Cricetulus griseus: one gene and its partner. The protein of the gene in region 1 binds, or shares a complex with, the protein of each later gene. Links are inferred from orthologs where the notes say so. Each region holds a gene or a part of one and is shown in the gene's direction. Other genes may lie near its edges.

Region 1 (3,814 bases):
GTGGTGTGAGTTCAAATAGAAAAGAGGATAAAGGTAGCTATTAGAGGAGATTAATGGTCTCATAAGAGTTGAGTACTGTGGCTTGGTATGCAGCTGCATGGGGTGCTGAAACAGTGCCTCCCAGTTAAGTCTTTCTCTTAGACTTAAGGAACTGAGAAATAGAGGACTATTTGTGTCTTAGTGCTCTTTTGCTATGAAGAGACACCATGATCACAGCAACTCTTAATAAAAGAAAGCATTTAATTGGGGGATTGCTTCTTACAGTTTCAGAGGTTAGTCCATTATCATCATGGCAGGGAGCATGGTGGCAAGCCTGACACTGGGCCAGTAGCTGAGACAGACAGACAGACAGACAGACAGACAGACACACACACACACACACACACACACACACACACACACACACACTGTTTGACATGGGCTTTTGAAATCTCAAAACCAACCTATTCCCAATGAGATACTTCTCCAACAAAGCCACACTATTAATCCTTTCAAATAGTGCCGTTCCCTGGTGATTAAGCAGCCACATATATGAGCCATTCTCATTCAAACCATCACAGCTATAGCAAACTGAAAAACTAATTCAAATTGAAGTACTTTTTTTCCTGTTTATTCGTTGTTAGTATTACTTTTGGCTTTTATGAGTATGTGTTAATGAAAGGATAGTTGCTGTTATATTCTGGCTGTTACTGTCCTAACTAGTGGAAATAATTTATTTGGGAAACTAAATAAGCTCTCTGTCTGCCCCAGGTCTTTTGGACAATCAACATGCCCTTGGGTCTAAGTGTGAGGAACATGGGAACATGACCTTATATTCCTTTACAGGCTCAGTCTGCTCGGATCTGTGCCATCTAGTCCAGTAGTCTTTAGCTGCAGGTGCACATGATTCCAGTCCCTCAGTTCCACCCAGCTTTAAAAGGGGGCAAAAATAGCTCTCAGCTGCAGTTGCCCTGTTTACTACTAAGTAGTGAGGGTCTCAACTTGGCTCAGTGTGGCCATTTCAGCAGCATTTATTTTTCTTGGCTTTCTTAGGCACTGTTGTTTAGATAGGTGGTTACAGGCAGAGAGGGACTAGAAGGAGAAGCAGTTGCTGGTAGTTATGGCTGTCCTTTTCACTGTGGAAAAGGGTGTTATAGTACATTTCACTTCCTAGGATCTGATTCTTGGTTGCTTTCCTTTCAGGAACTGGTGTTTTCTGCATCCCCAGATGCGACTATCAGGATTTGGTCGGTCCCAAACACCTCCTGTGTACAGGTTGTTCGAGCCCATGAGAGTGCAGTGACAGGCCTCAGCCTCCATGCTACTGGAGACTATCTCCTGAGTTCCTCTGATGATCAGGTACAGTCCCAGCTAGGGCCCTGAGGAGGCTGCCTACTCACCCTGGGAGGAAGGGCCATCTTGCTGGGGCAGCCAGATTCCCAGAGTTCTGGAAAGGTTTTTTCCCTGTTGTGGGAGCTATCTTTGCCAGTAGGTGCTGAATCAGGGTCTCAGCTACCAGACCTGCTTACTCATTGGCTTCTTTGTCTCACCTCCAGTACTGGGCCTTCTCTGACATCCAGACAGGGCGCGTGCTCACCAAGGTGACAGATGAGACTTCCGGCTGCTGTAAGTGTCCTTAGAGGCACTGAACTCTTTTGTTTGCAGTTTGTCTTTAAGTTTTACTTAGTCATTTGCTTATTTGTTCTAAAGACAGTGTTTACCACTGCACCAGTGTAGAGGCCACGGTGACTACTGACTACAGATCCCTGTCCCCTTTCCTCAGCTCTTACCTGTGCACAGTTCCATCCTGATGGGCTCATCTTTGGAACAGGAACCATGGACTCCCAGATCAAGATCTGGGACTTGAAGGTAGGACATGCAGGCCTCTTAGAGAAGGAACTGATGAGGTGTGTCAGCAGGCCCCAGGATTTCTCAAGGCTTAGGAAAGCCTGGCTTTGTTTGTGTGGCATGGTAATGTCACCAAGGAACTGTGGGTGCACAGGACATGAAGTTTGGTAAGCCCCTTCCTATCTTAACCCGTAAGTGATAATTTTTTGTCCAACCACCACCTGTAGGAGCGTACCAATGTGGCCAATTTCCCTGGCCATTCTGGCCCCATTACCAGTATCGCCTTCTCTGAGAATGGGTACTACCTGGCCACAGCAGCCGATGACTCTTCAGTCAAGCTCTGGGACTTACGCAAGCTGAAGAACTTTAAGACATTGCAGCTGGATAACAACTTTGAGGTGCGCTCCTCCCCAGTCTTAGTTGTTTGTCCTCACTCCCTGATGGTTTCTGAGTTCATGTGAACTGCTTCTCTTTGTCCCAGTTGTTCTGTGGCTTGACATTTGTGTAATTGCCTTTCTTTGGGGTTTGGCAGGTGAAGTCACTGATCTTTGACCAGAGTGGTACCTACCTGGCTCTTGGGGGTACAGATGTCCAGATCTATATCTGCAAACAGTGGACAGAGATTCTTCACTTTACAGGTAGAGGCTGGCTGTGGCTTTCCGGGGCCTTGTACATCTGCTCTAGGAAGCTTCACTTGGTGGTGAAGCTCTGGGCTTGGCCTAGATAGGCCCAAACTATTCCTACTTTTGCTGTCCTGGGAGTGGAACCTGACCAAGTTTCCTACTACTGAGCCCAACCCCCAGGCTGCTTTTACTTATGTCTGGGGGCAGTAGAGCATTGTAGCCTAGGAAAAGCATTTGTGAGTCTGTTTGGCTGTGAGTTGTGTTACTACCTGGCCTCTCCCAAGTTGTGTGTTGAGGAGCAAATTCTGTAATTTGTAATCTCTCTGGTGCCTTAGGAAAATTGAAATGATAATTTCAAACACTCAGTAGGAAATATAGGGGTTTACATGAAAGTGCATGCAACTCATAGGTTAGCAGTGTCTTGTGGTATATTATTTGGTATTGGCTCTTGATTTGAGCAATGAAAAAGAACCAGTCTGGGAAGTAATGAAGGTTTTTTTGTTTGTTTGTTTTGGTTTTTTGAGACAGGATTTCTCTGTATAACAAACCCTGGCTGTCCTGGAACTTACTTTGTAGACCAGGCTAACCTTGTACTCACAGAGGTCTTCCTGTCTTTGTCTACCAAGTGCTGGGACAGTAGATGTGCACCACCACACCTGGCATGTTTTTTATCTTTTTTTTTTTTTAAGATTTTATTTATTTATTATGCATACAACATTCTGCTTCCATGTATATCTACACACCAGAAGAGGGCACCAGATCTCATAATGGATGGTTGTGAGCCACCATGTGGTTGCTGGGAATTGAACTCAGGACCTCTGGAAGAGCAGTCAGTGCTCTTAACCTCTGAGCCATCTCTCCAGCCCATGTTTTTTTTATCTTTTGTCAACTTTATTGGGGTCTATCATGTGTGAGTGATGAAGTTTAAAGTCAAGTTAGGCAGTTTTCCTTTGTGTGGAGATGGAGTCTGGGGCCTTTCCCACAGTAGCAAGTATTCAAGCCCCAACACAAGTATAACTACAACACAAGGATAACTAGAAGTAATAAAGGGAAGTCAGGCTGACAGTGGTGCACAAGAGGGTTTCTCACCTTAGAGTCACCTATGGCCTTGAGTAGCTGCTATAGCCTCAACTTTAGGGGATCTTGCTGGGTGTGATAGCTCACACCTGTAATCTCAATTTTTGATAGCTAAACTAGAGAATCACCTTGAGTTTAGGCCAGCTGGGAGCACAAGAGGGCTTTTCTCTGGAGAGTTGGTGAGATCCGGGTGTTTTCTTAACTCTGGAAAGAACCTGCCCTGGTTCTCCATCTGAGTCCTGTGAGGAAGATAGCTCAGCTTTTTCTATTCTGGATCCAGTCCTGTA
Region 2 (3,910 bases), on another chromosome or scaffold:
CTTCACATCCCACCTTCATGCCACAAGTTGCTATTCTTTGCTAGCCTAGAGTTTGTGGTTATCATTGCAAACTTCCTTGTGCTCTCAACCTCTCTGCACCCCCGTACGCACACCTTCAGTCCCATGCCTGTTTTTCTTCCTGACACCTCCTGCTTACATGCTCTGACTTCCCTCCTGTTATAGAGGCCATCCCTCCTCATGAGGGAGTCTGTCCCTCTGCCCTACTTAGGAAGTTGGCATCTTCTGCTGGCTCCCTTTGACCTATATAATGTGTTTCTCTTGCTTAGCCAGTTTGGTCTATCAGTGTCCAGGCATGCAATCTCAATCTTTTAAAAAAAAATTACCTTTGGACTCTTGTTCCTCTCACCATCTGTCATCTTGACTCTAGTCTACTTTTCAGCAAGATTTAGGAAAAAATGTGTAGACTCACTGCCTTTTTGTTCTAAGTCCTGTTATCTAGACTTAGCCCCAGCTGGCCCCTCAGACCTTTCTTGTTATAGATGCCAACCATCGCCAGCTTTAGGCCTTGCTGTATTCTGCCCCCAGCGGCATCTTGTATTGTCAGCCCTGTGCTCCTGTTTCTTGCTTGCTCTGGTGGCCGGCTCCTCCATCTTACAGTTGCTTTGCCTGCTTCACTACCTTTTCGTCTTAGTGCTTCCTCCTTTCTTGATTCCTCAACATGGCGGTGGCTCAGGGATCAGTTGATTTCTCCATAGAAACGTGTTCACTGTGCCTTGTGTTCTTCCTCCAACCTTGTGCTGAGCTGAAGTACAGGGACAATAAGTTCTTTCTGTCTACATTATTTTAAGAGTAAGAGTGCTTTAGTAGGTGCGATTACACCAGAAGACACAAGAGTTATTCCGCTGTGTGCCACACTCAGATGCAGCAGTTAAAAATAGAGAGATGTGCCTGCTTCCAGTTCAAACACTACAGACAATATTGCTGGTGCTGACTCTATTTTGTGAAATGATGACTGAGATTCCATTGATTTATATTGTAGTTGTAATTCCTGGATTGTTTCTTTGTTTTGATCTTGATTTTTTTTTTTTTTGTTTTGTTTTTGAGATAGGGTGTCACACTGTGTAGCCCTGGCTCACCTGGAACTTGTCATATAGACCAGGTTGGCCTGCTTCAGACTTCCAAGTCTGGGGATTAAAGGCATATACCACTATACCTGGTTTGATTTTTGTTTTTTGAGACAGGGTCTTAGTGTGTGGCTCAAGGTAGCACTGAACTCTGGATCCTCCTGAGCGCTAGGTATAGGCATGTGCTACCACATCTAGCTCGTCACTGGGAAAGCCCTTAAAACTTGGGGTTTGTGTAATGTAATATATGTAGTTCTTAAGGGACTGGAGAGATGGCTCAGTGGTTAAGAGCACTTGCTGTTCTTGCAGAGGACCCTTAGACTTCACAGATTGAAATCATTCTTCCCTCCAACTCCCTTCTTGTCTCCTGTTTTAGTAGATGTGCCTGGCCAAAATTAGGGCTCAAGGGCTGGAGAGATGGCTTGGTGGTTAAGAGCACTGGTTACTTTTCCAGAGGACCCAGGTTCTACTGCCAGCACCCACTTGGTGGCTTACAACTGTCTGTAACTCCGGTCTCAGGGTAGCCTCTTATGGCCTCCTCTGGCACCAGGCACACATGTGAGCCATAGATAAACATGCAGGCAAAAACCCATACACATAAGCATAATTAAATTCAAAACAACAACAACAACAACAAAAACAAACAGAATGGTAGTGGTGCATGCCTTTAATCCCAGCACTCAGGAGGCAGAGGCAGGTGGATCTCTGAGAGTTCAAGGCCAGCCTTGTCTACAAAGCTACATAGAGAAACCTTGTTTTGAAAAATTGAAAAAAAGAAAAAGAAAGAAAGAAATGGTGGTGTACACCTTTTGCTGGGTGGAGGTGGCATATACCTTTAATCCCAGCACTGAGAGGCAGAGGTAGGCATATCTCTGTGAGTTTAAGGTCATCCTGGTCTACAGAGAGAGTTCCAGAACAGGTTCCAAAGCTACAGAGAAACCCCATCTTGAAACCATGCCCCCCCCCATAAAAGAAAAAAAGAATTAGGAATCCACCTCCCCTGTCACCCTGTCTCCAGCTCCTTTCCTGGCCCAGCATCTCCCCCTCCTCCATGTGACTGCCTTAAGCTTCTCTTCCCAGCACAGATGACCCTGCCTCTTAGTTGTCATAACACAATAACCTTTAAAATATGTGTATGTGTTTATCGTTTGTGTGTATTGTGCATGTGTTTGAGTGCTGGTTATGTGCATTATAGTTTGTGCGTGGAGATGAGAGGACAACTTTCAGGAGACCTTCCCTTTTACTATAGGTTCTGGAGATGAAATTCAGATTGTCAGGCTTCTTCAGCAAGCACTTCTATCTACAGAACCATTTCCCAGACCCGTACAATTCCATTTTAAACGAATGTTTTGCTTGTTGGTGTTCCAGGACTTAATGGGTCTGGTTACAGAGTAAACAGCAAGTCATTGTTCTAAATGAAAAGACAAATGAACAAAACATGAACAAATTTGAAACAACCCATGCATTCTTTCTCTGTGGGGAGGAAGACAGGGTGCAGCACCTTGGGGTCCCTGTCCTGGAGCCCGAGCCAGTGCACAGAAGCACTGCCAACAGTCAGCATGGGTGTGCACTTTGGGCTGGGAGCATTATGGAGGGAGCTGAGGAGTTTATTTTCTCCCAGGCCTTCTCTCCATGGCCAATTCTGGCCCAAACACCAATGGCTCCCAGTTCTTCCTGACCTGTGACAAGACAGATTGGCTGGATGGCAAGCATGTGGTATTTGGGGAGATCACCGAAGGCCTGGATGTCCTACGGCAGATTGAGGTGGGTGGTTGCAAATAGCTTTCTACCTGGACCTTGGGTGGGTACCTCAGTGGGAGACCTGTAGGGGTTCCCTATCTGGGAGAGGGTGACCCCTGAGCAGCTAGCTCTCAACCCCGTGCTTCTCCTGATTTCTCTGTTCTGTTCACAAAGGCTCAGGGCAGCAAGGATGGGAAGCCCAAGCAGAAGGTGATCATCGCTGACTGTGGAGAGTACATGTGATGCTTCGCTCGGCTCCCACCTCTGTAAGACAAGAACGGAGCTACCTGGCCTCTAGGGACCTGGTGCCGAGTGCGTCCTGTGAAGCAGTTGTGTGTCACCCAAGCCCTTCTACGGGTCAACTTCCTTAGTTGCCCCTCTGCAATGCCCAGGCTCTTACTCTAGATGTGGCTGGGCCTTAAAGCCAGCATAGGCTATGTGCTGCCACAGCCTGTCCTGGGGTCTTTAGCCACTGGGTGGCTTCTTTGCTAAAATAAACTGTTTTTTGTACTGTTGCCTCCAGCAAGTTCCTGCGAGTTATCCATTAGCGATCACATCCACGGCTAAACTGTCCCCTGGATGGGATGGCAAGTTTGTGAAGGTGTAATACCTTCCCATGCCTTCTGTTCCTTCCTGGGGCTAATTTCCTTACATGCCAGGTAGTGTATCTTTATGCCAGATGTCACTGTCAGATCCTGTCAGGACAGCAGGAATCAGAGCTACCTGTCCCTCTTGCCTGTGTCTGGAATTCATGCTGGTGTCGACCTCAGTAGCTCCAGTGTCTAACATTCACAGTAAGTTCTCAGGTTTTTAAATGGTATATTATGACTCAGAGAGGCAACTCTGCCAGGGACTGGGCTTCTTGTCAGGAGACAGAAGGTTGGCATGCTACCTGGGTTTTGGGCAGCCCACTGCTGATTTCTGTGAATGAGGTTGTATTGAGACACAGCCATATCCATTTATATTGGAATACTGCCTGTGGCTGCTTTCTCATTACAGCGGCAGAAGCAAATAGTTGGTGACTGACCATGTTATTTGTGTATTCTCGGGGTGTGTGTGTCTGGGGGGGTGTATATACATATATA

What was found.
Region 2: Prpf19 (region 1) and Ppie share a complex: the UniProt entries of both Homo sapiens proteins name them as parts of the XAB2 complex. The link is inferred for Cricetulus griseus from reciprocal best matches to the Homo sapiens genes PRPF19 and PPIE.

The regions. Positions count from the first base shown.
Region 1 is NC_048596.1:49,549,442-49,553,255, reverse strand, and holds part of Prpf19 (pre-mRNA-processing factor 19), read left to right. Parts: intron 1-1,182; coding exon 1,183-1,338; intron 1,339-1,535; coding exon 1,536-1,605; intron 1,606-1,762; coding exon 1,763-1,848; intron 1,849-2,054; coding exon 2,055-2,225; intron 2,226-2,359; coding exon 2,360-2,465; intron 2,466-3,814. UniProt on the Homo sapiens protein: Ubiquitin-protein ligase which is a core component of several complexes mainly involved pre-mRNA splicing and DNA repair. Required for pre-mRNA splicing as component of the spliceosome.
Region 2 is NC_048595.1:29,865,687-29,869,596, forward strand, and holds the end of Ppie (peptidyl-prolyl cis-trans isomerase E), read left to right. Parts: intron 1-2,706; coding exon 2,707-2,849; intron 2,850-2,999; coding exon 3,000-3,068; 3' UTR 3,069-3,347; downstream 3,348-3,910. UniProt on the Homo sapiens protein: Involved in pre-mRNA splicing as component of the spliceosome. Combines RNA-binding and PPIase activities.